Sus scrofa: one gene and its partners. The protein of the gene in region 2 purifies or fractionates together with the protein of the main gene of each other region. This does not show direct contact. Links are inferred from orthologs where the notes say so. Each region holds a gene or a part of one and is shown on either strand. Other genes may lie near its edges. The genes, in order: WDR77, RIOK1, EFTUD2, CLNS1A and COPRS.

Region 1 (5,010 bases), on a different chromosome or scaffold from region 2:
ATAGAAGAAATGAGAGCCAGAGTAAAGGTAATGACACAAGTCAGCATCAGACAGCGGACCACAGCAAAGAAGGAAGTGCAATTCCAATCTCTGCCTGGTGCCTTTCGCCCTACAGCACGCTGCACTGCCTGCGTGTAGCTCTTCACATGAGGAGGGTAGACTGCCCCTTTCTGGGAGACAGCTGGAAGGCCAGACTCGGAAATCCCAACCCCACCACCTTCCCCCACTGCCAGGGACAGAGCTGGTTGTGAGTCAGCCCCGAACAAGGGAGACAGTCAAGCCTGCTTCCATCACCCGGTCCCGTGGAAAGAGACAATACACTTTTCCAAAGAGAAAAAGGACCCAGCCAGCGGCTGCTCCCCGCCCTGCTTCCCGATCACAGGATTCCACGTCACACTTACACCTTGGAGAGGCCCGAGTCCAGCACGGCGAGGGAGCAGTCTTCACTCACAGAAGCCAGGAAGGGAGTGCTAGGAGACAAGGGGGTGGCGGGGGGAGGTAAAGCCCACAGGCCCCAATGCAAAACCTCACTGGCCCCCAGACCCCGACTCTAAAGTGATCGGAGCAGCTGGCCTAACCCCACTTAAGGCTAAGGTCTGGCTACACCTAAGTCTACAGTATACGTTTCAAAGACAGATGAGGAAAAGGGAGCAAAGCCAGGGCTGAGAAGCATCCCAGCAACTAACCTTCTCACTGGGTCCCTCCCCACAGCTTCATCAATAACCCAGAAACAACTTCCAACCACACAGCCCTAGAAGCCCACAATATTAGTCACTGTGGGTGTTGAGCAGGAACAACACCGAATTTCAGCCATTTGCAGTCAGAGACCATACAACCCCCAAAAGGACTGCAGTGTTAAGAGCCCCCTCACTGAGATTCCGAAAGCTCAGCTACAACAGTGCCTGCTTTAAGGAACTACCCAGTCGGCCAGTGCTCCGCCGACACAGGCATCTCCCCTCACTGTTCCCATTTACACCCGCCAGGCCCTCGACGACAAAGAACAGTACCTGTGTGGAGAGAACACCAGCCCGGTGACACTCTGGGAGTGCACAGTTGCGCTGAGGGCACAGCTTGCACTCTTGGTGTCCACAAGGGAGACGGTCCCATTCTCATCGCCTGAAGGAAAGAGGGGGGACATCACAGAGGTAAGAGCATGGGCTTTGGACTCAGCCAGGCCTGGATTTGGATGCTCGTTCCTCAATCTTGGACAAGTTCACCACTCTAAGCATCAATTTCCTCTTTGGTAAAGTAGAAATGATTAGTCATCTAGGGGTTGTGAAAATTAAATTAACAGGGTTAATTATAGTTATTAGGTTATTCGATGACATAGTTGTTAGGTTCCTACAAACTATGCACCTACAGGCACAGCCACGTCGGCACGTCAGCACCACCACCCCCTCCACACAACAGAATCCCCCTGTAACAATCCACTCGCTTTGTGGCCCCTGACTTCCAGCTATGCCAGAACACAAGAGCCACAGCAGACAATCAGGAGTCAAATCTACTAAGAAAAAAATCATCGTGTTCTCCAAAGCTAAACCAAAACCACTTTCGGATCATTCCGCCTCCCCGCCCCCATGAGCACAACTCATCTAGTGCCCAAGTGGGCAGAGTGGGCAGCCAGGGCTCTCTCGCTCATCCTCCCCTTCCCAGAGTCGTCCCACAGTTTCACACGCTGCCTTACCAAAGACAAAGACTTCACTCCGCTGAGGATGCCAAGCCAGCGAGGTAGGCAGGTAGCCAGAGGCCCTGTAGCCTGCAAAGGGGAGAAGAAGGGTCTGAGACAAAGCTGCTCGGGTGAAGTCACTCTAAATCCCGGCGGCACCCTATTCGGTATCGTGAGTCCTGCCAGGGCCGTCTGTTCTCCTCCTTGACCCTCACAACCTGCACCTCCCCATCAGCCTCCTGCCCCTGCCAGACATGAGTCACGGGCAAGTTTCAATGATAAAGCAGGAAGAGAACAACTCTGGCCCCTTCGTTCCCTCATCCAGGCAACATAAGGTACATCGCCCACCTAGGAACCAGCCCTTCCTTGTGGGACCCACGGCATCAACTGGCTCAACAGAGCTGCAGTGGGTAGGAGAGCAATTATGCCATTGGGTCAGTGACTGGGCCGCCTTCGCCCTTGACTCTGGCCCAGGAAAGCCTCTTCCAGGTGGGCTCCTGGGAGAACTCGGTCCTTGTTCACTCTCCCACCACCGGCTCTCAGACTCACCTATCTGTGACGCTGGCTTGGGACAGCGAGTATCCCAAAGTAAAATTCTATTGTCCTAGAAGAAAAAGGGACAGAAAAAGGGCTTCACGATCCAAGGAAGCAGCCGCTCGCCGGAAGCCCTCCACACCTGACTGAGGTCCACAGGGTCTGGGTGCGCTTAGGGGGCGGGAAGGGGAAAAGAGGCTTTAGCTCACCTCACTGCAGGAGAGAAACACGGAGTCTTTGTGGGGAGAGGCAGCAACACAGGTGACCTGCCCAGAGTGAGCTGCAGAGGAGAGAGAACAAGAAATACGACGGAGAAATGGAGGCAGTCCAGACACTATCAAGGGGTAGGAGGGAGGCTGTGAGAAACAAGCCTAGTCGTGTGATGCCATGTAACAAATTCCGTGAGCGTTTGGGATAAGACAAAACCTAAGAGGAAATGTTGATAGCATTATAAAACCTCAAAAGGCTTCGGGAAAAATGAATCACTACAGACATGAAAGATAAATTAAAGGCTGGGTAAAAACAGTAGGGGAACTTACAGCAAGGACCGTGGAAGAGCAGAGGCCTATGTGCCTCCAGGCGCATACGAAGACTTCTGAGGGAGCTCTGGACACCGAGAGTTTAGAGGGAATGGCTCCAAGGCTCTCTCTCCACATTGAACTGAGACACTATGTAGAGGCTGCCAGCACTGCTCACCTCTGCCCTCAGTCACCCGTCTCCCACCGTGCGAAGGAAACACGCACCTCTCACCCGCCCCAAGCCCACCATGCTACGATGCTCAGGAGTCTAGAAACCTAAGGTAGAAAACAAAAGGGGCTTGCCCGAAGAGCTGACCAAAAAAGAAAGGGCATCTGGGTAAAATTCGGTGGGGGAAGCTGGCCTTTCTCATCCCCATCACAAATCCTAGAGTGGTTCTGTGGCTTATCTCTTCTGTTTAATAATGAGAATTTTGAAAAATATGGCATGTGGTCACATAAAGACACCTAACAGGTCCATACGAATTTAAAAACGAAGTGTCAGATTTTTCAAGAAAAGTGCTCAAGTCTCACTTGGCCAACTTTAACACACAGTTGGTTTTTGGCAGTTAGGTTATTTGGTAGATTTTTTACATAAATCAAATGAGCTTAATCTGAAAATCCAAAATTCTGACAAACATATTTTGAAAAAGTGTACCGTAAATGGCACGGCTAGATACAACTTTCTTTGCGATGAGCTCAATTTAAACTAGAAACCACTTTAAAAACATGTGAAAGGGTACAGTTTTTCAAGACTCCCTTAGGGCTACAGGCTAAAAATGTTCAAGGTCAATGCTAAGTGTTAATTAAAGGCTGTGGAAACCACCTTCTCTAAAGCAACTAACCAGACTTTCTGAGATAGTCTGAATGTGGTTCCGCCCAGGTACGGAAGAGGGGGGCCTCAAACCATCCTCCAGAGAATCCATGCAAAAGCAACATGATGAAAAGCAACATACTGCTCCTTAAAAACAGCAAAGTTTTGGGACAAACGCAATGGGAAAGTACAAAGATGAAAAGATATGTGGTTCCTCTGCCCTGGAGGGATTTGGAATCAGCGCAAGAGAGTAAGAACAAACACAAAGAACTAAAGAAAAAGGCTAAAGGTGGCAGGCAATGAAAAAGTTCCTTAGCACTGACCAGGAAAACACGCTGTACATCTAGAAAACACAAAGTAAGTATGTCAGACTTTGAGCACTGACATTCGAACATTATTGTCTAAATATATGCTCTGAAGCTCCAAGAGACGGATGAGTTTGTGATTTTGCTCCCAACATATCTGAATCATGCACTTAGCAGTGAGAACTGGCAAAGAAAGGCACTTAGCCATTGAGGGAACCAGTGATCAATCACCCCATCTACATCACTTAGCCACACACACATTAATGCTCTAGATACTATCTTCAGTAGGAATTCCTGTCATGACTCAGCAGCAGTGAACCTGACTAGTAACCAGGAAGAAGCGGGTTCAACCCCTGGCCTCGCTCAGTGGGTTAAAGATCCGGCATTGCTTCAAGCCACAGCGTAGGTCACAGATGCAGCTCGGATCTGGCGTTGCTGATGATTCGACCCTGAGCCTGGGAACTTCCATACGCTGTGGGTGTGACCCTAAAAAGACCAAAAAAAAAAAAAAAAGATTTGGTATCTTCATGAAGATGGCTCTCAAAATAAAATCAACTGCCAGTGCTATTCATTAAGGTGAGCAGAAAAAGAAACATAAGGGATGGTTCTCACCAAAAAAAAAAAAAAAAAAAAAAAAGAGAGAGAGAAAGAGAGATTTTATGGAGGTGAATATTCAAAAGTTCAAGATTCACAAGCATCAGAGTTTATGCTTGGGGAATGTCAAAGATCTACTGTGACTGGGTTTAGCTAGCATGGTATGCTTGAAGGAGAGTCACAGTGAAAAAAAGCCCGAACACCATGACATAAACATAGGATTGTAATCTGTAAGTCGCAAGAAATCAATGAAAGACCAAAGATTACAGGTAGAGAGATGAGATAAATGCCACTGTCTGTGTGAAGCCTGTAAGTAAAAGGGGGCATAAGAAATGGAAAAGGTCATGGACCAAATGAAAAAAACACTCCAAAGGACCTGGGGACCAACTGATAGTGGGAAACAGGAGGAGTAGGAGAGGACTGGGAGTTTGAGCCACTGGTGGCCAAGAAGGTGGTGAGGCTGTCAATAAAAATAGAGAAATTAAGGGGCAAGGATCAACAGTGGGGCCTGACCACCATTTTGGAAGAAAACTACCAGGCAGGAAAGCAAAGAATTGATTTATTAACATCCAAGCAACGTTC
Region 2 (5,559 bases):
TTTTGCTTTCTAGGGCTGCACCTGTGACATATGGAGGTTCCCAGACCAGGGATCAGATCACAGCTCCAGCTGCCAGCCTACACCACAGGCGCAGCCATGCCCAGTCTGAGCCTTGTCTGCAGCCTACACCGAAACTCCTGTAAAGGCTGGATCCTTAACCCACTGAGTTAGGCCAGGGATTGAACCCGCATCCTCGTGGATGCTAATGGAATTGGTTCCCTCTGCGCCACAGTGGGAGCTCCTCCACTGGTTCATTGCTGAGACCGAGCAGTTTCAGTGCGGAGTGGAATTGCTCATATTAAAGCGAGTGGGGGAAACACGTGCCCAAATGTTAACTGTTAATCTTTAGGTGCTACGCTTACAGGTAATTAAAATTTTACCTGTGGTTTCTACTGTGAACATGTATTATTGTAGTTTAAAATTTATTTTAGGACTTCCCATTGTGGCACAGTGGAAATGGATCTCACTAGTATCCATGGGGACACGGGTTCAATCCCTGGCCTTCATCTGGGGGTTAAGGATCTGGCGTTGCCGTGGGCAGTGGTGTAGGTTGTAATCGAGGCTCGGATCCCGAGTTGCTGCGGCTGTGGTGTAGGCCGGCAGCTGTAGCTCCCATTCTACTCATGTCCTGGGAACTTGCGTATGCTGTGTATGTGGCCCTAAAACGTAAAAAATAATAATAATGTTTCTTTTAAAAGTTATATTTAATAGGTAAAATTGTAAAGTTCTCTGCAAACAAGAAACAAGTCAGCCTCCAAGTTCATGCTCAGATAACAGGATGGAGTCAGGCATTGTGACAGGCCCTTTTATTTATTTATTTACTTTATTTTTTTATTTTTTATCTTTTTAGGGCAGCACCTGTGGCACATGGAGGCTCCCAGGCCAGGGGTCGAATCGGAGCTGCAGCTGCTGGTCTGTGCCACAACCACAGCCACACGAAGTAGGAGCAGCGTCTGCGACCTACACCGCAACTCACTGCAATGCCGGGTCTTTAACCCACTGAGCGAGGCCAGGGATTGAACCTGTGTCCTCATGGGTACCAGTGAGATTCGTTTCCAGCGAGCCACGGTGGGAACTCCTGTGACAGGCCTATTTAATCTCTGTTCCCTGGGCTGTGGATTCGGGTGGCGTCTCCCCTCTCTCCCCTTTCTGCTGTTGCATCAGTCTGCGCTGCACGGGTCTGAGTGCAGAGGCTCATGCCCTGTCTCTCCCTGTCTTGAGACACTGGGCCCAAAATGAAATTCCAGTTTAGTGTTGGTCTGAGCTCTTAATTATATACTTTGGGGGTAAACGAACCTTCCCAAATTTTCATCTGTAAGCCAATCCAATTAGAAAGATACATTTAATTTTGTTCTTTATTATAGTGAAGAATATATTGTAGGAGGCTAGAAACAAACACAAAAACACATTGTACAGACTCTTTATTTTTTTATTTTTGCCTTTTCTAGGGCCACACCTGCAGTACATGGAGGTTCCCAGGCTAGGAGTCCAATCGGAGGTGTAGCTGCTTGCCTATACCACAGCCATAGCAACACCAGATCCTTAACCCACTGAGCGAGGTCAGGGTTTGAACCCGAAACCTCATGGTTCCTAGTCCGATTCGTTAACCACTGAGCCACAACGGGAACTCCTGGGTTTTGTTTTGTTTTGTTTTTTCTTTCAGACTCTTCATTTTAGGCAATGACTTTGTCCTATTTCAGATGGCCTTTGTAAAATATTTCTTGGGCAAATTTGATTGATTTTTTTTACCTGAGGCTACTCTAAGTATTGGTGACTAAGGGACATGACGTGGTGAACTGCGGGCTTGTGTTTATAACAAGAGCTTTAGTCTCTGGGACTCATTTCTTCCAGCCAAATCGACAGACTCCCAACTGCAATTCAGCCAGAATGTCTACTCCAGCAGACAAAGTCTTACGGAAATTTGAGAACAAAATTAATCTAGGTAAGTGTATAAGATACGTTTCCTTGCTGGGCTATGAAGCAGTTCTTCAAAAACCACAAATGTGTTAGAAAATTTTATTAGATCAAGCAGTGGATATATTCAGTGTTACTAAGTAATGATGCTTAGAAAAAAATCAAAACTTAGTAATTTAAAAACATGGCTTCAAGGAAAGACTTTACATTTTTTTAGTTCTGTTTTTCTCTCCTTTTGTAGAGATATTAAGTTACAGATCGCATTCAAGTCATTGTCCGTTTTGTATTAGATTTTGTAATAAGATTATCTCGTGGTAGAATGTTGAAAATACTAAAAATTGGAACGTGATTACAGTTTGTTGTGTTAGAAATTTTTGTGTGGCATTAACTTTTTTGGGGGCTGGTGAATTTGGATTTGAATGGCTCTTGAAAAGGCGAGGTCCTCTCTCCCTGGTGACACTAACAGTTATGAGCCTGACACGGCGTCTCCTGGAACCTGTCATTTGCAATGAAACAGACATTTTAGGATAAACTTGGAATTCAGGCAGTTACGTTCTCTCTGTTAGTATAAAATATTAACTGATGTGTGAAATTCAACATGTGCAGGTAAGATGTTTTGAGGGATTTCTGGATCTAGATTTCTCTGGCTCAGAAATGACGGTTCTTGTGATAGAAGTGGTCATCCTTGTTAGAAGGAAGCACAATTACTGCCTGCCTTTCGAAACAGTAGACATCTTTAGTACTAAAATATATCCTCTAAGGAGTTCCTGTCGTGGCGCAGTGGTTAACAAATCCGACTAGGAACCAGGAGGTTGCAGGTTCGATCCCTGGCCCTGCTCAGTGGGTTAAGGATCCGGTGTTGCCGTGAGCTATGGTGTAGGTCACAGACGCGGCTCGGATCCCGCATTGCTGTGGCTCTGGCGTAGGCTGGTGGCTACAGCTCTGATTCGACCTCTAGCCTGGGAACCTCCGTGTGCCTCGGGAGCGGCCCTAGAAATGGCAAAAATAAATAAATAAATAAATAAATAAATAAAATATATCCTCTATGTATCGTAAGTAAAACACTTAGAAAATTGAGAAGGAAAAGTCCTATTCAGAAACTTTTTGTCTTACGTGTTATTTATACAGTGAATGTTTTTTTGGTATTTTTTAGATAAACTAAATGTTACTGATTCTGTCATAAACAAAGTCACCGAAAAGTCTAGACAAAAGGAAGCAGATATGTAAGTAATGTTTTCAGTGTATAAAATACAGATAAATAAAACAAAAGATGGCTGATAGGAACGAATTCTAGACAGATTACGTAGCATCTTGGTCATAATGCCTTTGCAAAGAATGTTTCTCTGTGTATCTGTCCTAATTCTTTTTTTTTTTTTTTTTTTTAAGTTTAAATGAGGGTATCCTATGCCTTTGTAGGTTGTAAATATTTTTGAGTTTTCCTAAGAAATTTGTACTAAAACTATAATCTTGTGAAATTTGCAGATGTGCTCTCAGAAAGGGAACAGTTTGTAGGTTTCAGTTTAAAATGGTAGCGTATAGGGAGCCTGTCGTGGCTCAGAGGTAACGAACCCAACTAGTATCCATGAGCACTGGGGTTCCATTCCTGACCTCGCTCAGTGGGTTAAGGATCCGGTGTTCCCGTGAGCTATCGTGTAGGTCGCAGGCACGACTTGGATCCCCCGTGGCTGTGGCTGTGGTGTAGGCTGGCAGCTGCAGCTCCCGTTTGACTCCTAGCCTGGGAACCTCCATATGCCACGGGTGCGGCCCTAGAAAAGACAAAAAAAAAAAAGCATTAATTCCCTTCCATGAAACATTTTTAAAAACTTAAGTGCAGATTTAGAACTAAGTAGTCACATGACAGAACAGTTTCCTTTTACAATTCTTTTCTCAAAGCCAAATGTTTAAGATCTGGCTAACCTATTGCAGATATTTCTAACGCGTTAGCAATATGTTATAGAAAGTAACTAAGATCATACAACTAGCACTGTTAAAACTTAACTTAAAAACCAGTTTTCTGGAGTTCCTATTGTGGCTCAGCTGGTTATGAACCCGACTAGTATCCATGAGGATGCAGGTTCAGTCCCTGGCCTTGCTCAGTGGGTTAAGGCTCCAGCATTGCTGCAGGCTTCAGTGTAGGTTGAAGATGTGGCTTGGATCCTGCATTGCCAGGACTGTGGTGTAGGCCTCACAGCTGTATGGCCCTAAAAAGAAAAATAAACAACAAAAAAAATAAAATCAGTTTACTTCCGTTTATTTTTTTTTCTTTTTCTTTCTTTCTTTTTTTTTTTTTTTTGCTTTTTTTAGTGGCTTTATTAGAGTTTTGTTTTGTATTGTTTTTGTCTTTTTTAGGGCCTCACCCATAGCCTGAGGTTCCCAGGCTAGGGGTCTAATCGGAGCTATAGCTGCCGGCCTGCACCACAGCCACAGCAACACCAGATCCGAACTGCATCTGTGACCTACACCACAGCTCAGGCAATTCCAGATCCTTAACCCACTGAGCAAGGCCAGGAATCGAACTCACAACCCCATGGTTCCTAGTCGGATTGTTTCTGCTGCGCCACGATGGGAAGTTCTACTTCTGGTTTATTGCTGTACCAAAGGGATACCAGTCTTTTGAGAAAAACCACTTGTTATCTCATTGGTGTGTCTGTTTGAATTTTTATTAGTGTATTTATTTATTTATTGTCTTTAATTCTGTCTAAAGTTTGTCTAAAGAAAGCAGTAATTCTGTACTAATAGAATCACTAAAGGACTCAGGACAGTATTTACACACCTGATGTTTTCTCTTTTCCAGCATAGTTCACGTTATCCCACTGTTGCACTCATTTAAACCTTGTGGATAGAATTTTTCCTTACTGCGGATAGGCTCCTTTTGCCCCAGGGAACGGAATTTCTTCTTACTAAGGGGAAATGAAGCTTCTCAGAGCGGCGAAACCGCCGTGATCTCATGAAGTGTGTTACCAAAGAACCTAGGTGCTTAGGGATTTCCTGGAATGATGTGCATTCAGAAACTTTTGATTTTGGCTTCCCTGAATTTTGAATGTCACCTATACTTTTTTGGTTCTGCTTAGGTATCGCATCAAAGACAAGGCGGACAGAGCAACCGTAGAACAGGTACAGTTTAAATATGTTGCAAGTTCTTGTTTTAAAGTAGTAGTTCTGGAGTTCCCATCGTGGCTCAGTGGGTTACACGCCTGACTGGTATCCATGAGGACCCAGGTTCGATCCCTGGCCTCGCTGAGTGGGTTCAGGATCCGGCGTTGCTGTGAGCTGTGGTGTAGGTCACAGATTCAGCTGAGATCGGATCCAGCGTTGCTGTGGCTGTGGCTGTGGTGTAGTCCGGTTGGACTACCTATTGGACCCCTAGCCCGGGGACCTCCATATGCTGCAGGTGTGGCCCTAAAAAGCAAAAACAAACGAAAAGAAAGTGTGTCTGTGTGTGTGTGACAGATAATGCCTTCGACTTTTCAGTTAGTATCCCCACCTTGGTTTAGAAGTTGCCTTATTTACGCAGTGGGGAAAGTCAACCCCTGACGTTCCCGTATGTAGAGGGGCTGTGACTTGACGTGAGGGTTGTCCCAGGGTTTTGTGGTGAAGAGGTGATGCAACCGGTCAGACCATCGCTTCTGCTTTCTTCCACCTCCC
Region 3 (5,559 bases), on a different chromosome or scaffold from region 2:
TTTGTTTCCACTGCGCCACAACAGGAACTCACCCTTACTTGCTTTTTAAATGTCATTATTTTCCTATTGAAAGCTCCATGACATTTCAAGATTATGTCACCTCACAAATGAGTCTGTTCCATTCCCAAAGCCTGAACTGTGTAGGGGTAGAAATTCATGTCTGCCTTGGAACATTCTCCAGTTGGGCTGAAAATTGTTCCTGGCCAAAAATACCTAGAACATCTCTGCACCGCTCCTTTGTTTGAAAACCGTTGCCAGAGTCCCTTTTCTCTCTTCCTTTCTCCTTTCAGTTTCTTGGCAGATCTGATGGATAACTCGGAGCTCATCAGAAACGTGACGCTCTGTGGCCATCTCCACCATGGCAAGGTGAGGGAACTTGGAACAGGGTTGCTCTTTGTTTCTGCTGAGTGTTTCAGCCTAAGAGTCACTAATTGGGGTCTGAGGCCATAAGGCTGGACCTCCTGACTCTGCAGGGCCTCCCTGGAGCCTATTGTGAAACCGAGCCGTGAAATCCCAGCTTTTCCTGAGCAGCAGATGGAAAGCTAAGCCACTTGCATGCCTGAGCCTTGTGTCTACATCTGGACAGCAGAGGGGAAATTGGGCCTTACTTTATTTTATAAGTTTTCATTTCCTGGAGGACGCTTGCCCAAGAAAGATTTCATCTTTCATTTGAAAATAATCCCGTGGCTTCTTTATTTCTTTGTTGTCCCATAATCTCCCCTGCTCTCCTCCTCCTCTCCTTATCCCTGAATTGTGTGGTGTATTGGTAACTGGGGGAGGGTGGAGTCGATTTTCCTCTGTGGCCAGCAGAACATAACTTTCTTTTCCCTTGCAGACGTGTTTTGTAGATTGTTTAATAGAGCAGACTCACCCGGAAATCAGAAAGCGCTATGACCAAGATGTAAGTAGAAATTCTGTGGAGGGTTTGGGATGAACCATTCAGAACACAGGGGGGTGTCTCTCCTTCTCCTTCCTTCTAACCTCCCACTCTCATTATAAGTAATGATGCCTATAATATGCTGCTTCATAATTGTAATTTCTATTAATAGCCCTTAAGAAAATAATTTCCATTTTCTCAGGAACATAGAGAATATTAACCTGCAGTATTTTTGGATGATCTGTTCTGCACTTGAGATCCCTCCTGTGTTCTGATATATCCTGACTTTTATAGCCTATTCTTTCCTGTCATAGTATTAATAGCCTACTCTATAAATATAATACAGTTGGACCTTGTTGTTTCCATGATAAATTTAAATGCCTGTGAATGAGGCCCAGTGTGGCTGCAAGTCTCAGTGCAATAACTGTTCAGTCTCCGCCAGATTGACTGTTTTGATGTGCGGGTGTTCCGTGAAGGCTAGAGGTGTCTTCCTTTACCACTGTGCAGAATTCAATGCATTTGATGTGATTTAGCTCTCCAGCCACCTCGGTCCTTAGTGACTTCCCTGACTCCCCCCATAAAACCATCCAGGAGCATTTTCCACCTGGGAGGGCCCTAGTCTCATTGAACTCTCTGTAGCGCACCCTCTTGCCTTCCATCTGTTCTCCTCCTGAGCCAGAGGCCCCCAGGTTAGGAGTGGGTGAGGGGAATGATTGATGGTTTGTGGGTGGCAAGAATCTGAATTCAGGTGGTAACTACATTTTTTTTTTTTTTTCTTTTTTCAGCTGTGTTACACAGACATCCTCTTCACAGAGCAAGAGGTAAGTGTGCCTTTGGGAATCTGATTGTTGCCACACCAGACCCAGCAGTGGTGGTTTTGTAGGGAAAGTTTTTATGATAACGTTTTGGCCCATACAGCACCCGTCCCCCATAACTCCCATCCCTCAACCTCTTTATCTCCCTGCTTCGTCCCATGATCTCTAACTTGAAAGAGAGCTGGGTAGGCAAACTGTAGGATAAAAGGAGAGACCCTCCTGTCCTTACCTGGATTTAATTTAGCCTAATGGGGCAGATGCCAAGAGGTGGTGTGTACATTTATCTGTAAGTTATACAGAAGCCAAACATGATTTTTAAAATGACATCATCCTTAAAATCTATAGGATGACTCCATCCATATGTCGCTCTTCCTAGGGGCAGCTTCCCTTAGAGAAGAGGTTCATCTCTCTTTGTTCTTCTCTTTCTCTGTAAAGGAGTGCACGTATATCTCTGTCTTTTCCATTCCATCTGGTTAGTCTTTCCATCTAGAGGGGATCTTTATCCCTCCCCTCTAACACCTTCTGTTTCCTCTTCTCCTTTTTTTTTTTTTTTTTTTTTTGTGTGTGTGTGTGTGTGTGTGTGTCTTTTTAGGGCTGCTTCCATGGCATATAGAGGGTCCCAGGCTAGGGGTTGAATTGGAACTGTAGCCACTGGCCTACACCACAGCCACAGCAACACAGGATCCGAGCTGCGTCTGCGACCTACACCAGAGCTCACGGCAGCCCTAGAGCCTTAACCCCCTGAGTAAGACCAGGGATCAAACCTGTGTCCTCACAGATGCTAGTCAGATTTGTTTCTGCTGAGCCACAATGGGAACTCCCCTCCTTTATTTCTGTCTCTCTTAAATGACCACATGGAAAGCACAAATGTATAAGTTTGACTAACCAAAGGAACTCTAAACGGTGCTGGCATATGATAAGCAATCAACAAATATTAGCTATTTAAAAAATATATGTGTGTATATATTTGACTGGAGTTGGGCTTTTTTTTGTTGGGTTTTAGCTGTGCCTGTGGCATGTAGAAGTTCCCAGGCCAGGGATTGAACCCACACCACAGCAGTGACATAAGCCATAGCAGTGACAATGCCAGATCCTTTAACCCACTGTGACGGGCTGGGGAATTGAACTTGCCCCTCCACTGCTGCAATCAGATTCTTAAGCCACTGTACCACAGCAGCAACTCCTACTATAACTTTCGCTATATTTAAAAAAAAAAAAGGAGTTCCTGTTGCGGCGCAGTGGTTAACAAATCCGACTAGGAACCATGAGATTGCAGGTTCGATCCCTGCCCTTGTGCAGTGGGGTAATGATCCGGCATTGCCGTGAGTTGTGGTGTAGGTCGCAGACGTGGCTCGGATCCTGCATTGCTGTGGCTCTGGCATAGGCTGGCGGCTACAGCTCCGATTCAACCCCTACCTAGCCTGGGAACCTCCATATGCCGAGGGAGCAGCCCAAGAAATGGCAAAAAGACCAAAAAAAAAAACCCAAAAAACAAAAAAAAACCTAGGAATTCCCTCATGGCCTAGCAGGTTAAGGATCAGTGCTATTACAGCTCTGGCTTGGGTTTGATCTCTTGTGTGGTCTGGGAACTTCCACATGCCACAGGCACAGCCAAAAAAAAAGGAACCTAAAATAACCCAGATAGTTTCTTTTGATTTATATGATGTTTAATTATTTTTATTTATAGTGTACGAGGAAGATAAGATTTTAGGACTGTGGATTCTCCTATTATGGTTTACCACTGCTTTGCTTGCTTGTTCTTTTATTTTTACTTTTTTGTATTTGAACCAACTCTCCCCCATCCTGGGAAATGCTGTTAAGACCAAGATAGTTTGTCTTCAAGGTCATTCTGATTAGAGGACTAGGTTACAAAATCACACACACTACAAGGAGAGACAGTGGTGTAACTTACTAGCAACTGGGAAGCCCCCAAAGCAGAGTAAACCCCTCCTGCATAGGATGAGCTCTTGATCATCCTGTCTCTCTCTCTGTGACTTTCAGAGGGGTGTTGGCATCAAAAGTACTCCTGTGACAGTGGTCTTGCCAGATACCAAAGGAAAATCCTATCTCTTCAATATCATGGACACTCCAGGTAGGATGTTCCTGACCTTTTACTGTCAAAACCTTGACTTATTTTTTTCTTGTGCTCCTACTATTTCTAGAACAGAAAAGAGCATTATGTCTTTCTTTTTACATTCTGTTCATTAAGATGATAATTTTCATTTTTAACGGTTTCCTTTGCTTCTAACCAGTTAATTAGCAAGCACTGTGCTCCAGGTCTTCTGTCTTATTCCTCTCTTGACTCTGCTCTAGACTATTTAAATTTGGGGGAATCTTATTCATATATTAGTTTCAGCCTGTCAGTCACTGTGCTAGACATTGGGGTGACAAAGATGAGTCAGACATGGTCCCAGCCTCAGGCCATCTCAGTCTTTTGATGGAGACCACGGGTACTTACCAGTGGCTGGGGATGTACAGGTTGCCATGGAGCAGCATATCTTGTCCCTTGGTTGCCTTTTTCTCTTGATTCATTTTTATTTTTTGCTTTTTAGGGCCACACCCATGGCATATGGAGGTTCCCAGGCTAGGGGGCCACAGCAGTGCAGGATCTGAGCCTCATCTGTGACCTACACCACAACTCACCGCAATGCCAGATCCCCAACCCACTGAGTGAGGCCAGGGGTCAAACCCGCATCCTCATGGGTACAAGCAGGTTCTTTCTGCTGCGCCACAATGGGAATTCTGGAAAATCTGGGTTTTGGCAGATTGGCCTTTTGCCCCATCAGGTGCCCTATGCCCTCCTACTTCTTAGCCCCTGACCCCCACCCATACCCAGCAGCAGCACTTTGCCAGGAACCAGCTCCATGCTAAAGCCCTTCCTTTGCCTTTTTTTCTGCCTCCAGATTGTCTTCTGTCCCACAGAATTCGACTCACTGATGGTTAGACTAAGCTAGGGTGTGAGTGGAATGCATTATGCCCTGCTTGGTAAAACATTTCCTCCTTTTTATGTTTGGGGGCCTCCTGTATAAAAGCACAATCCAAGGATGGGACACTAACGTGGAAATTTTTTTTGGCTATGCCCATGGCATCCAGAAATTCCTGGGCCAAGGATTGAACACAAGCCACAGCAGTGACAATGCCAGATCCTTAACCCACTAGGCCACCAGGGAACTCCTAATGTGGAATTTTATACACTGCAGGGAGCTGTGGGGAGAAGGGAACGGGGCTCTTTGTGGGTTCACATGCTTTGCAGTGCCCTGCAGACCACATACAAGTTGATTGTGCCTCAGCCTGTATCCACACAAGTGGCAACTTACCTGGTATTTGCTTTTCAGGGCATGTGAATTTTTCTGATGAAGTCACAGCTGGCTTGCGCATCTCAGATGGAGTGGTCCTGTTCATTGATGCTGCCGAGGGCGTGAGTCTGCTTCTGTCCTTTGGGACCCCTCTCTCCCTGTTATATTTGCCCTACACACTGCCCAGAGCTCTGAGTGAGCTGAGCCAGGAGCCAGAGAACGTGAGCGTCTCTGAGATTGAGGCTCATACTTGCTTTAAAATTAGGGCAGCAAATAAAGGTGTAAATCAGTTCTCAGTGAGTCCCTCACCCCCTGCCCAGAGAAGCTCAAGATGATAGGACTCGTTGTCATTTAAGAAACACAGGAGGAGTTCCTGTCGTGGTGCAATGGTTAACAAATCCGACTAGAAGCCATGAGGTTGCAGGTTTGATCCCTGGCCTGCTCAGTGGGTTAAGGATCCAGCGTTGCCGTGAGCTGTGGTATAAGTCACAGACGTGGCTCAGATCTGGCGTTGCTGTGGTTGTGGTGTAGGCTGGTGGCTACAGCTCCAATTAGACCCCTAGCCTGGGAA
Region 4 (6,037 bases), on a different chromosome or scaffold from region 2:
CTCCAGAGATACCGCCAGTCCTGTTCCACCACAGTGGGAACTCCTGAAGTATGGTTTTGTGACAGTGGAAAGGAAAACTAACTCATGATAAGAGGCAAAGCTGAGTGTCAGTGCAGGGCAGTCGCTGGGCTCATTCATCACCTCACTGCCTATCTTAGCAAAATGTTACAGACTGAGGGATAATTTGTGGCAAGTTATGTATGAATGTCAAGGCTCTTCTGTACACAGCCCTTTCCAGACTGACCTGGCCTACTTTCCAGCCCCATCATGTGTAGTGGTTGAAAGGGTGTTGGCTGTGCTGCCCTACTGCTCAGGTTCTAAGTCACGCTCTGTCACTTAGTTACTATGGACCTTGGGCAATTCAACCTTCTTATGTGTTTTCTTTTAAAAAATTTTTTCTTTCATTTTAGGGCCACACTGGAGGCATATGGAAGTTCCCAGGGTAAGGGTTGAATCAGAGCTGCAATCGCTGACCTACACCATAGCCACAGCAACGCCAGATCCGAGCTGCATCTGTGACCTACAACGCAGCTCACAGCAATACCAGACCCTTAGCCCACTGAGGAAGGCCAGGGATTGAACTGCATCCTCATGGATACTAGTCAGGTTTGTTACTGCTTAGCCACAACAGGAACTCCTGTGCCATATTTTAGATTCCACATATAAGTGATATATGGTATTTGTCTTTCTCTATCTGACTTACTTTACTTAGTATGATAATCTCTAGTTGCACCCATGTTGGTGAAAATGGCATTATTTCATTCCTTTTTATGGCTGAGTGGTATTCCATTGTACATATTTACTGTATCTTCTTAATTCATTCATCTGTCAATGGCCATTTATGTTTTTCTCTTTTTTTCTTCAAGTTTTAGCTACTTTGAGTAGTGCTTCAATCAACACTGGGTGCATGTATCACTTTGAATCATTGTTTTGTCATGGTACATGCCCAGGAGTGGGATTACTGGATCATACCGTAATTCTATTTTTAGTTTTCTGAGGAACCTCAATACTGTTTTCCACAGCAGTTGCATTAACTTACATTCCTACCAACAGTGTAAGAGGGATCCCTTTTCTCCACACCCTCTAAGCATTTGTTATTTGTAGACTTTTTTTAGGTGTGGGTGGATACCTCATTGGAGTTTTTTCTTTGGGGGGGCGCTCTCCCGGCATATGTAAGTTCCAGGCTAGGGGTGGAATCCCAGCTGCTGCTGCCGGCCTACACCACAGCTCACGGCAACGCGGGATCCTTAACCCACTATGCGAGGCCAGGGACTGAATCTCGCTGTAGTTTTGATTTCCATATCCCTAATAGTTATAGACCCGGGGATACGTGGCTTATGCACTAGGGCAGTGTCAGGACCTAGACGAATACCTAGGGCATAACTCTTAAGTTGAGGCCTGCACAGGCTGAGATGACGCAAGCAGGCGCGGTGAAAAAGCGGAATCCAGTTAGGAGACCGTTGACCTGTAAATCAGTGTGGCCTCTACTTTCTATGCATCTTCAGGTATGGACTCCCTATCTCACGCCTCCGTCTCCCCTTTTGTAGAAAAAGGAATTTATTATTCCTGCGCCTCCTCTCTCCCAGGGTTACAGTGATGACCCTGACCTAGGATGCCGTTGAGAACGCTCTGTCATTCCAAGCTTGGGGCTTCAGAAAAAGGAGGGTGACGGGAAACGGCGTCACTGCGACACACCGGGGCCTCTCTGGCCTCCGAGATCTTGCCCTAGAACAGCTCGTCTCTATGGCAGACAGGGTTAAATTCCGGGGCGGCTAAGTAGCTCTTCCGGGGTCATCGCGGCCGTTTCCGGGGCGGGACGCCGCGAGCGGGGTTTGTGGTGCTTCGGCTCGCTGGCGGCCTGTGTCTGTGAGCTCCCTGCTGCAATGAGCTTCCTCAGGAGTTTCCCGCCGCCTGGGTCGGCTGAGGGGCTCCGGCAGCAGCAGCCAAATACGGAGGCTGTGCTGAACGGGAAGGGCTTGGGCACTGGCACCCTTTACATCGCGGAGAGGTAGGGTCCCTGTTCCCTAGTGCGGGCGGCCTGCGCGCCGCCTCCCCCGGGCGCCGGCCTTAGGGACGATCGGCGGCGAGACCACCGCCTCGGGGGCTGCGGGGCGGGCTGCTGAGAGGAAGACTCGATTGTTCCAGTGTCCTGTCCTCGGTGCCGCCTCTTCTCTCTTCCTCAGGCAGGGCTCTCCTCTTTAATTACGCTTTTCCCCCGCGGTCCGATAAGAGTGTGGCTCTCCCTCAAGGGTGTCGTTTTAAAATGTTGAGTTTCCAGGCCCTGAGTTAGAGTCATCCATGTGCCTGCCTCCTGCGAGGAGCAGGCGTGAGAGCTGTTGCCCTGGGCAGGCTTGTAGGTTTAGGGCAGACTGTGCAGGGTTTTGAGAGTTTGGGTAAGGCGTATAGGTTTCTTTCTGTAGGTGTGGGTGGGAAGAGGAACATCCTCCGTTTCAGGGAGGCTGGGTTATATCCAGAGGGACCTTGCTCTCATTGTCATTCCTGGAAGGAATCGCCTTTTTATTTGAGTACCCGGAACACTATGTACTTTCATTGTCACATAGATATGTCTTAAATATCGAGGTGGCAGAATAGAGGTACCTATTTCCAGGACATAGTTCATTCTTTTTTTTTTTTTTAGGGCCTCACCCAGGGCATATGGAAGTTCCCAGGCTAGGGGTCCAATTGGAGCTACAGCTGTCAGCCTACACCACAGCCACAGCAACGTGGGATCCAAGCCGGTGTCTGCGACCTACAGCGCAGCTCAAGGCAGCACCGGATCCCCCACCCACTGAGTGAAGCCAGGGATCAAACTCGCATCCTCATGGCTCCTAGTTGGATTCCTTTCCGCTGTGCCACAAAGGGAACTCCGGTTCATTCATCTTCAAGCCAACAATGGCACATTGTTTTCTCCCTGTCCTTCAAATCTCTCTGACGTTTGTTTCTGCTGTTTACAGCCAGGGAGAATTTTCTGGTTATAAGAGCTCACATGGGAGTTCCCCCTGGGACTCAGCAGTAACCCAAGATGAGTATCCATGAGGATGCCGGTTTGATCCCTCGCCCTGCTCAGTGGGTTAAGGACCTGGCCTTGCTGTGATCTTGGTGTAGGTCGCAGATGTGGCTCAGTTCTGGCATCGCTGTGCCTGTGGTGTAGGCGGCAGCCGCAGCTCTGATTGGGCCCCTAGCCTGGGAACTTTAATATGCCCTGGCTACGGCCCTAAAAAAGAAAAAGAGCTTACATGATTATATGGGACTCACACAGATGTGCCAGGATAACCTCCCTATTTTGTCTTCAGTTGATTAGTATCCTTAATTACATACACAAAGCCCCTTTTGCCATGTTACCTAATATATTCACAGAAGATATGAAAGTCATGGGGGCCAAAACCTCCTGCCATAGAGGGCACAAAAAATGTAAAGAATGCTTGGTTTAGAGGGAAATCTAGTCATTGAGCAAACTTAGGAGTTTGACTAGTCACTGAGATAGGAAATGTGGATGGGAAGGAAAGCAAGTTTGGGGTAAGGAGCAGTTCATGAGTTTAGTCTGGATATGTGTGAATTAGTTGCACATATGAAGGGGTTTCTTGGGAGAGTGGTACTAAAGATGGGTAGACAAGAAGGCCAAGGATGGAAACCTGGAGACACAGCTACACCAAGAGATGATGGAAGAAGAGACTTAAGGGGGAGGAGCAGTCAAATAAAATCACATCTGAGAAGCACCTGTTGGGTATTGACAAAGACATCTTTAGTGATCTTGGGGGAGCAGTTTCTTTTAAGGGGTGGAAAGTGGAACACAGATACAGTCCTAGCCCTACAGAATCCCTTTTTCTCCATGGCTTCTCTGTGTATTGGCTCTTCTGTAGTATAACTCCTGTTTTGGAAAGGTTTTATACTTGTTTTTTCTTTTGGAAAAATTTCAGACCTAAAAAATGTTGCAGGTGTTGTTAATACCCATAGCCCCTTCACCAAGGATTCATCAGTTGCTGACATTTTGCCACATTTATCTCTTTTTTCTGATTTTTTTGGAGTTTCAGACACGTTGTCACTTCACCTATAAATACATGAACAAAAATCTCCTTAGAATAAGGGTATTCTTTTGTATAATAACTACAGTACAGTTATCACACTGAGGAATTACAAACTCCTTTTAAGCTCTTATCAATTAAAAAAAATTTGTTTCCAGAGCTCCTGCTGTGGCCTAGCAGGTTAAGGATCTGGCGTTGTCTCTGCAAAGGTGCCCTTTCAATCCCCGCCTGCTGCAGTGGGTTAAGGATCTGGATTCGATCCCAGGCCTGGGAACTTCCATATGCCATGGGCGCGGTGGAAAAAGAAAATTGTTTTTCTTTATTCAGCTTTCCATTAGCAAATCTTTTGCTTCTTTAATAAAATATTTTTGTAAAATATACATACGGAAAAGAATATAAATTAATGTGTGGTTTAAGGAATTATAATTAAACTAATATAACACTGCATAACACCGCCAGGTTAAGGATAGAGTATTACCAGCCCCTTGGACACTTTTGTTCACCCCTCTTTACTCAGTGCTAGCTTACCTCTGTGGTCTCTTGCCCCCTTTTGTTTTTTCCCACCTTGATTTTCCAAATCCTGATAGAATCAAGGTCTCAACAAACTGGGAAGGGTTCCTAGAGGGTGTGACAGATGAGGAATAAGAGTGAGATAGGGCTGAAAAGAAATGTTCCAATTAGAAGAAACAAGATGCTCAGAGGCTAGGGTGAGAAACAGTATTGTGTGCCAGGATATAAGTGTGTAACACATGCACACTCGCAGCCCCACACTTCTTCATCCAAGGGTCCAAGGGAGAAAGAGTGAAATACAGTAAAACTAGAGAAGAGAGCCTTGTCATGAGCTTGGTTTGAGGGACGGTATTTTAGGATTTTAGGCAAAGAGAGGCAGGGTTTGATTTAGTTTTAGGTAGTTTCTCAAATTACTTTAGGGCTTATTGTCAAAGCTTAATTTTCATAGGAAGTTGACTTCTCCAAATAAGAAAGGGAACAGAGTCATGAATCATTCACAACAGAGCATTTGATTCAGATGGAATTGGAGTTCCTGTCGCAGCTCAGCAGTAACGAACCTGGCTGGTGTCCATGAGGACGTGGGTTCAGTCCCTGACCCTGCTCAGTGGGTTAAGCCTCCACCATTGCTGTGAGCTGTGGTGTAGCTTGCAGTCACGGCTTGGCTCCCGCGTTGCCAATTCAACCCAGAGCCTGGGAACCTCCATATGCTGTGGGTGCAGCCCTAAAAAAAAAAAAAAGAAACAGGTGAAATAAAATAATTAAAATAGGTAACCTATAAACAATGCATTTTCAAATGTCTTATTACAAAATTAATTTTTCAACAAATAATTAAGCCAGTGCAAATTTAAGACCTCTTAGTTTTCTGTCCTGTTTTTCTCCCTGTGCTGGGAATAAAGTACACTGATGGTACTTACACAACCGCATTGGAGGTTAGCAGGAGGTTCCTTTGCCGCTTGACAGGCTTTCTAATTCCTGTTTTCCTCTTTTGTGACTCATGGTTTCTTTGGGACTAGATATAGTTAATTAGACATTTTGATTTTGAAGGGCTTTTCTTCTAGAATATATGAAAAGAGAATAAATAAAAATCAAAACTTAGTGGCGTTCCCGTCGTGGCGCAGTGGTTAACAAATCCGACTAGGAACCATGAGGTCGCGGGTTCAATCCCTGCCCTTGCTCAGTGGGTTAACGATCCGGCATTGCTGTGAGCTGTGGTGTAGGTCGCAGATGCGGCTCAGATCCTGTGTTGCTGTGGCTGTGGCCTAGGCCGGTGGCTACAGCTCCGATTCGACCCCTAGCCTGGGAACCTCCATATGCTGTGGGAGCGGCCCTAGAAAAGGCAAATAGACAAAAAAAAAAAAAAAAAAAAAAAAAAACCACAACTTAGTGATCAGAGTAAATGTTGCTTTTAAGTGAAACCTTCTTCTGTAGAGTACACAATCCATCTTCATATTTGAGATTATCAGAGCTCCACAAGAAATGCTTGGTGAGGTAGCATTTATGTCCTG
Region 5 (6,070 bases), on a different chromosome or scaffold from region 2:
GAAGATTCTTATCAATCTTTGTTCATATCCCTGGTTATTGCCTTAGAAGACTAACATCTGAAAATAGAATTACTGTATTAAAGGATTTAACTATTTTAAAGAACATGGATATGTACTGTCACTTTGCTTTGTATGAAAATACTTTGGAGCACTGTGTGAAAAGTCAACACCCTTACCTGCTGTTGATATTATATTTCTTATATTTCCCATTTTAATAGATGTAAAGGGGTGTAGGTCATTGTTTTATTGTGTATTTCTTTGATATTAGTGTAGTTACTGTGTTTTTTTCTGGTACTCTTTTCATGTTTGACTATTTTTTGAATTTTTTTAAACTAATTTATAAAGAATTTTTTATGTATGAGGAATGCTAATCTTAAGTTTGTCTCTTTATTACTAATGATGTGTCCCCAGCTTTTTTTTTTCTTCTTCTAGTGTTTTTTTGAGGTCCAGAGGTTTTCTATGTGTGGGGTCTGATTTTTATTGTTGAAAACCCTACCTCTTGATGAGGACGACTCTTTTTTTTTTCCCCAAGCAGTGAACTAAATTTTCCACAATACCATTTGTGGCCATTTTTCTCTGACTGATTTATAATACCTTTATTATATTTCTATGAATATTAGAGTCATTTTAGGGCATTTTCATTAGGACCTTTTGTACTCTCTATGGTGTTTGTATGTCATTTATATTAAAATGAGAAAAATTTCCTCTTTCTCTTCTCCAGTAAGTCTTAGGAAGGTCAACATTTTAAATCCTTAAAGGGCTTTTTTATTTTAGGAAAGAGATACTTGTCACATTTCAGACATGAGAGTGAAGAGCAGGGTGGTTGACTCCTTAAAGCAAGGCTTGTGAGGGTGGGTCACCCTGCGGTCACACAACCCTCTACCTGATTCTCACCATTGCAGGTTATGGAAGTGCATCTAGCTAGTTCACCTAGAGCTGCACTGTTAGATGGGGTAGCTTCTCCCCACGTGTGGGAACTTAAATTTATTGAAATTAGATAATTCAGATTTTCATTTACTCTGGCCACATATTTACCATGCTAGACAGCACAGATAATAGAACTTTTATTTCTACCATGGCATATGGTTCTGTTGGACACTGTTGACCTAGATTCAGTTAGATTTGGGGAAACTAACTCATGAGTTGGAGCAGAACACACATTAATTGGTCACATTCTCTCCCCTGTGGGAAAGTCGACATATGATTTGTTAGGCTAAAATGTTCAAATGCTTTATATAGTGTATAAACAGCACATTCTTGAGGGAAATGAAGGAATAGGCCCTCTAATGTCTCAGATTGTGGTAAGGTGGCCTGGTGAGCAAGGAGTCCCACCTTCCAGCTTTTCTGCTTCTTAAGGGTTAACATGACTATCCCACCTTGAGCAGATATGTTATTGGAGTTTAGGCAGGGAAGGTGTATCCCCTGCTCAGGCGCTGCCTGTCAGAATTCTGCTGCCCTCAGGTTGTAGAGGGCCAGACTTGGAGCATTAAAAGAGAGAAGCCCAGGTGAGACCATACCAGCACAGTACAGAAGGTTTAGGGTTACTGTGACCAAGTATCAGCCTATAAGGATGTCTGCATGTTGTAGGAGTTTGTTTTGATCATCTATTCCTAGGTTTCTAACGGGTTTGAGAAGTCACTAACTCAAGGTGGAGGATAACTGGGTTGCTGAGTTGTCTCATCCATTTGTGAGTTATAGTCTAATTTCAGCCTAAGCTCCAGAGAAACCTATTTAGAGACAAGAGTGAGATGCGGTTGGAGCTTCAACTGTGTGAAGTTTTGAGAGCTGAGTTTTATACATCATCATGTAGACGCCTAACAGGAAATCGAGGTTTTGAAGCAGAAGCATATCCAGTGTGGTTGCGTAGGGATAACACTTGGCATTCCAGACCCAACTAGTCATCCAGCCCTGGGGTCCGCACCTGGTCAGGACGTTCCAAAATCCTACTCCAGAGCGGGTACGTGAGCAGGAGGCCTTTGCAGTCGGGCTCGCCCCGCCCCCTTGCTCCGCCCCGCCCCGCCCCGCCCCCGGCTTCCTCGTGACCCCCGCGCCCCGCCCCCCGTCCGGGAGCACCCCCGGCTGATTGGCCCTCCGCGGCGTATCCTTGGGCTGGCTGCCAGGCTGGTGCGTCACGTGGCTGAGCAGCGAGCGTCTCGGGCTCAGAGCCGCTGGCCGCCGGGCATGGACCCTCTCACCGCTGGGGCCCAAGCGTTGGGGGCCGCGGAGCCGCCGCGGGGCCGGCCGCAGCTGAGCGCGCGGGAGGCGTCCCCCGCCCCGGGGGTGAGCGCGGCGCGGGGCCTGGGCGCGGTCACCACCTGCGGCCGGGGGCGGGAAGTTGCGGGGCTCATGGGGCGGGCCGGGTGGGGGGCCGCGGAGCCGGGGAAGCGCCTCGGGCCTCCCTGCGAACGGGGAGCGCCGTTTGGGCACGCGCCCGAGCTGGAAACGGCCGGGTCGCGGGGCGGCGGAGCAGGGTACCTCGTGGTCGTGGGTGGGCGCGCCGGGCGGAGAGGTCTAGCTGGCGGCCCACGAGCGCCTCGGCGTCCTTGCTAAATGGGCGGTGATGCTGCTGACCGAGAGCTGGGCCTGGGCTGGGGCCAGGTGAAGGCAGCGAGTAGAGCGATCTTCTCTGGCGGATCCATGTCCCTTCGTGGCGATGCTCAGCTAACCCTGAGCACCAGATGATGTCTGCTGCGCTCTCTCCTCTAACCTTTACTGAAAGCAAAAGGCCGCGTTTGACGCAGGGTTTCCAGAAACTTGTTTTCATTTGCGCGCCGGACCACCATTAACAGTCATGTCCTGCCCCGTTTACAGTCAATAATCCCTATTAGACATGAGCTCGTTGAGGTAGGAACCCTCTAGTGCTGGTTAACCAGGTGACCAGCATAGTGCCTGACACCACAGACACGCATATTAATTGGATGGAGGAATAGAATGCTTGTTTAGGCATCACAGAAAGTACTTAACCAAAGAAAGATATAAAAAATGTAGTGATGGGTTTAGAAAGAAAATTACTTTGGGGGTGCAGGTAGGATGAGACTGGTTTTGTCAGGGCAGAGCAGGAAGGTTTGTGCGCTTCCTCTCTAGGGTCGGGGGGATGCTTGTTCCTGGCAAAGGTCTGGAGGTGAGGAAGTGCAGGGCGAATGGCCGGGAGCTTTGGTCCCAGAGCTGGGCGAGAGAACTATCTCCGTAGGTTGATGGGGCTGGAGGCCATGGAGAAGTTTGTGGTCCCACAGTGGAGGCCTTCGGAGCAGAGTATTGATTAGCGCTGTCAGGCTGGGCAAGATGGGTGAGTGAAGCCAGTTAGGGGGCTCTTGCAGTGGAAGAAGTGAGAGGTCCCACTCCTGGCCAGCAGTAGTGACCAGGAGTTGTCACTTAACCATAGGAGGTGGAATTAACTCATTAAATCCAGGCAGATGATGAGCTAATTGGGACAGGTGCCAAGTGCAGTGTAGCTTTAGGAGCAAAGAAGGTGAATTAAAATTCAACAGATGGGAGTTCCTGTTGTGGTGCAGCGGAAACAAATCCGATTAGCATCCATGAGGATGCAGGTTCCATGCCTGGCCTCGCCCAGTGGGTCGGCAATCTGGCGTTGCCATGAGCTGTGGTTTTGGTCGCAGATGTGGCTCAGATCCCGAATTGCTGTGGCTGTGGCGTAGGCCAGCAGCTGTAGCTCTGATTCGACCTCCAGCCTGAGAACGTCCACATGCCACAAGTGCGGCCCTAAAAAGACACACAGCAACAGATGTTATATTCTTGCCGTGTGCTAGGTGTTTTCATGAGTGTTATCTCAGTATAAGCCTCCCACAAAGTCAGAACAGGCATCCCCCGTGTCCTGACAAACTCAGGCATGGTAGCTGAAGTGCTGTGTCCAGGGTACACACTGAATGAATGGGCTTGTAATCAGGTCTTCTCATGCAGGCTGTGAGTATTTCACTTAGAAAGAGGTCTTACAGGTGATGGGGTTTCAGGAACTTTTGAGTGATGGGAGCAGAAAAGCACATGGTTGGCTATGAGGGAAGATTTCCCTTCATCGCCTAAAAAAGCTCTCTTGTCCCCATGGATCCATCAGGAGACAGCATTTGATAAAAAGAGCTGTTCCCTAGATAAAAGTCGGTTTGTAACTGAAAAGGTAAGGAGGAGCTTGCTGCTGTAGGAAACCAAACCAAGCCCTGGGGCTCAGGGAACAAAAGAGGTGAGGTTGGAATGATTACAGGGGAGAGGCTTTGCAGCCCGCTGAAATTCCAGCCTCAGAAGAGGGGGCACTGCCCTGGCTAGTGCTGGGGTCTCTGAGCTTGGCGTCGGGGTCCTGAGGACCTGTGACTCCGAGCACTCAGGAGAGGGCTGGGCAGGAGGCTGGCTCTGCGCGTGCTGGATGCAGGCAGCTAGGAAGGCAGGCGATTCTGCCGGCCCGTCCCTACAGGAGTAGGAAGGAGCCGGGCCCTTCTTCCTCGGGCTTGGCCCAGCCTGACACGGCAAAGCAGAAACGTGGGTTGCAGAGTCCCCACCCCAGCCTCCCGAAGTGCGCTATGGAAGGGTGGAAGTGGGGCTGAAATCCTGGCTCTCCGCAGGCCTCCAAGGCCCGGGTAATTGTTTCTTCTTCCCGCAGGCTGCCTTTGTGCTGGCTGACCACTCTGGTCAGGAGAGAGAGACTGAGAAGGCCATGGATCGACTAGGCAAGTAGCTGGCGGAGCCTGGGGGGAGGTGGGTGTTGGGAAAGACCGAGGAAGTGACAGAGAAGGAAGGTCGGTCCCCGGCTTGGTTAGGTACCTCCTCTTTGTAGCCAGCCCTCCTCTTCCCCAGCCGGTTGCCTTTTCTGCCTAGTGTTTCAGGCGTCTTCTCGTTTGGAAGCCCCCCCCCTCCCCCTGCAAGAGAGTCTTGGGCCTGGGTCCAGATCCACCCCTTCTGCCGAGGAAGACAGCCCAGGGCAGCGGAAAGTGTGCAGGCTTTGCAGGCGGCTGAAATTGTTTCCCTTTCAGCTCTGGGACTGGGTCCTGGGCTTTAGTTTTGTGGCTTTATATTTTTTATCCTTTTTCTATCTTTAAAATGGGGATAATAATACTTCCTTAGAGGGTTGTCTGAGGATGGGGTGATAGGATGTAGAACTGAAATCCCCACTCCAAATAGCTGTTTAATTATAACGAAATAAAGTGGAAAATTCACTTCCTTGGTCACATGGGCCACATTTCAAATGCTCAGTAGTCAGACACGGCCATGGCTAGCCTTTCGGACAGCACAGATTGTAGTAAGTATGTTATCGTCATCACAGAAAGTTCTCTTGGCCAGTGCTGGTCTGGATAAAGCACCAAGCACATAAATAGGGGTAGTCCTAGCAGCTAACACTTCACTGAGTACTCACTGTGTGCCATGTACAGTTCTAAGTGGGTTTTTTTTTTTTTTTTCCTTTAAAAACCCTGACAATGGCTCTATCTGCCTGTGATAGATGAGGAAACCGAGCTACAGAGCAAAAACCTTAAAGATTGTGGAAGAAGACACATAACATGAACCATTTGAAAGTGTACAATTCAGTGGCATTTGGCCCAATCACAATATTGGGCCAGTCACCACCACTGTTTAGTTTCAGAACATTCTCCTGGCCCCCAGAGGAAACGCTGTATCTAAGAAGCAGTCACCCCCTACACTCCCCTTCTTGAGCCCCTGGCTACCACAGATCTGCTTTCTGTCTCTGTGGATTTACCTGTTCCGTATAGGCACATATGAGTTGCTTATAAATGGAGTTACATGATATATATATGTATATTTCCCCCCCCCTTTTTTACAGTCTCACTCATGGCATATGGAGGTTCCCAAACTAGGGGTCGAATCAGAGCTACTACTGCCGGCCTCTGCTGCAGCCACAGCAACTCGGGATCTGAGCTGCGTCTGCGACCGACACCACGGCTCAGGGCAATGCCAGATCCCTGACCCACTGAATGAGACCAGGGATTGAACCTGCATCCTCATGGATGCTAGTCAGATTCGTTTCTGCTGCGCCACAGTGGGAACTCCAATATGCGGTTTTTTTATGTCTGACTTCTTTCACTCAGCATGGTTTTTTCACGGTTCATGTTGT

What was found.
Region 1: the proteins of RIOK1 (region 2) and WDR77 purify together in Homo sapiens (affinity purification with mass spectrometry; 5 studies listed by BioGRID and IntAct, with this or other methods). This does not show direct contact. The link is inferred for Sus scrofa from reciprocal best matches to the Homo sapiens genes RIOK1 and WDR77.
Region 3: the proteins of RIOK1 (region 2) and EFTUD2 purify together in Homo sapiens (affinity purification with mass spectrometry; 3 studies listed by BioGRID). This does not show direct contact. The link is inferred for Sus scrofa from reciprocal best matches to the Homo sapiens genes RIOK1 and EFTUD2.
Region 4: the proteins of RIOK1 (region 2) and CLNS1A purify together in Homo sapiens (affinity purification with mass spectrometry; 3 studies listed by BioGRID and IntAct, with this or other methods). This does not show direct contact. The link is inferred for Sus scrofa from reciprocal best matches to the Homo sapiens genes RIOK1 and CLNS1A.
Region 5: the proteins of RIOK1 (region 2) and COPRS purify together in Homo sapiens (affinity purification with mass spectrometry; 3 studies listed by BioGRID and IntAct, with this or other methods). This does not show direct contact. The link is inferred for Sus scrofa from reciprocal best matches to the Homo sapiens genes RIOK1 and COPRS.

The regions. Positions count from the first base shown.
Region 1 is NC_010446.5:108,909,364-108,914,373, reverse strand, and holds part of WDR77 (methylosome protein 50), read right to left. Parts: intron 2,481-5,010; coding exon 2,410-2,480; intron 2,271-2,409; coding exon 2,216-2,270; intron 1,757-2,215; coding exon 1,685-1,756; intron 1,117-1,684; coding exon 1,008-1,116; intron 471-1,007; coding exon 402-470; intron 1-401. UniProt on the Homo sapiens protein: Non-catalytic component of the methylosome complex, composed of PRMT5, WDR77 and CLNS1A, which modifies specific arginines to dimethylarginines in several spliceosomal Sm proteins and histones.
Region 2 is NC_010449.5:4,753,145-4,758,703, forward strand, and holds part of RIOK1 (serine/threonine-protein kinase RIO1), read left to right. Parts: intron 1-1,851; coding exon 1,852-1,942; intron 1,943-3,067; coding exon 3,068-3,137; intron 3,138-4,985; coding exon 4,986-5,028; intron 5,029-5,559. UniProt on the Homo sapiens protein: Involved in the final steps of cytoplasmic maturation of the 40S ribosomal subunit. Involved in processing of 18S-E pre-rRNA to the mature 18S rRNA. Required for the recycling of NOB1 and PNO1 from the late 40S precursor.
Region 3 is NC_010454.4:18,487,020-18,492,578, forward strand, and holds part of EFTUD2 (116 kDa U5 small nuclear ribonucleoprotein component), read left to right. Parts: intron 1-290; coding exon 291-366; intron 367-835; coding exon 836-901; intron 902-1,662; coding exon 1,663-1,698; intron 1,699-3,693; coding exon 3,694-3,784; intron 3,785-5,027; coding exon 5,028-5,110; intron 5,111-5,559. UniProt on the Homo sapiens protein: Required for pre-mRNA splicing as component of the spliceosome, including pre-catalytic, catalytic and post-catalytic spliceosomal complexes. Component of the U5 snRNP and the U4/U6-U5 tri-snRNP complex, a building block of the spliceosome.
Region 4 is NC_010451.4:12,109,422-12,115,458, reverse strand, and holds the start of CLNS1A (methylosome subunit pICln), read left to right. Parts: upstream 1-1,790; 5' UTR 1,791-1,883; coding exon 1,884-2,008; intron 2,009-6,037. UniProt on the Homo sapiens protein: Involved in both the assembly of spliceosomal snRNPs and the methylation of Sm proteins.
Region 5 is NC_010454.4:43,089,111-43,095,180, forward strand, and holds the start of COPRS (coordinator of PRMT5 and differentiation stimulator), read left to right. Parts: upstream 1-2,070; 5' UTR 2,071-2,181; coding exon 2,182-2,280; intron 2,281-4,606; coding exon 4,607-4,673; intron 4,674-6,070. UniProt on the Homo sapiens protein: Histone-binding protein required for histone H4 methyltransferase activity of PRMT5.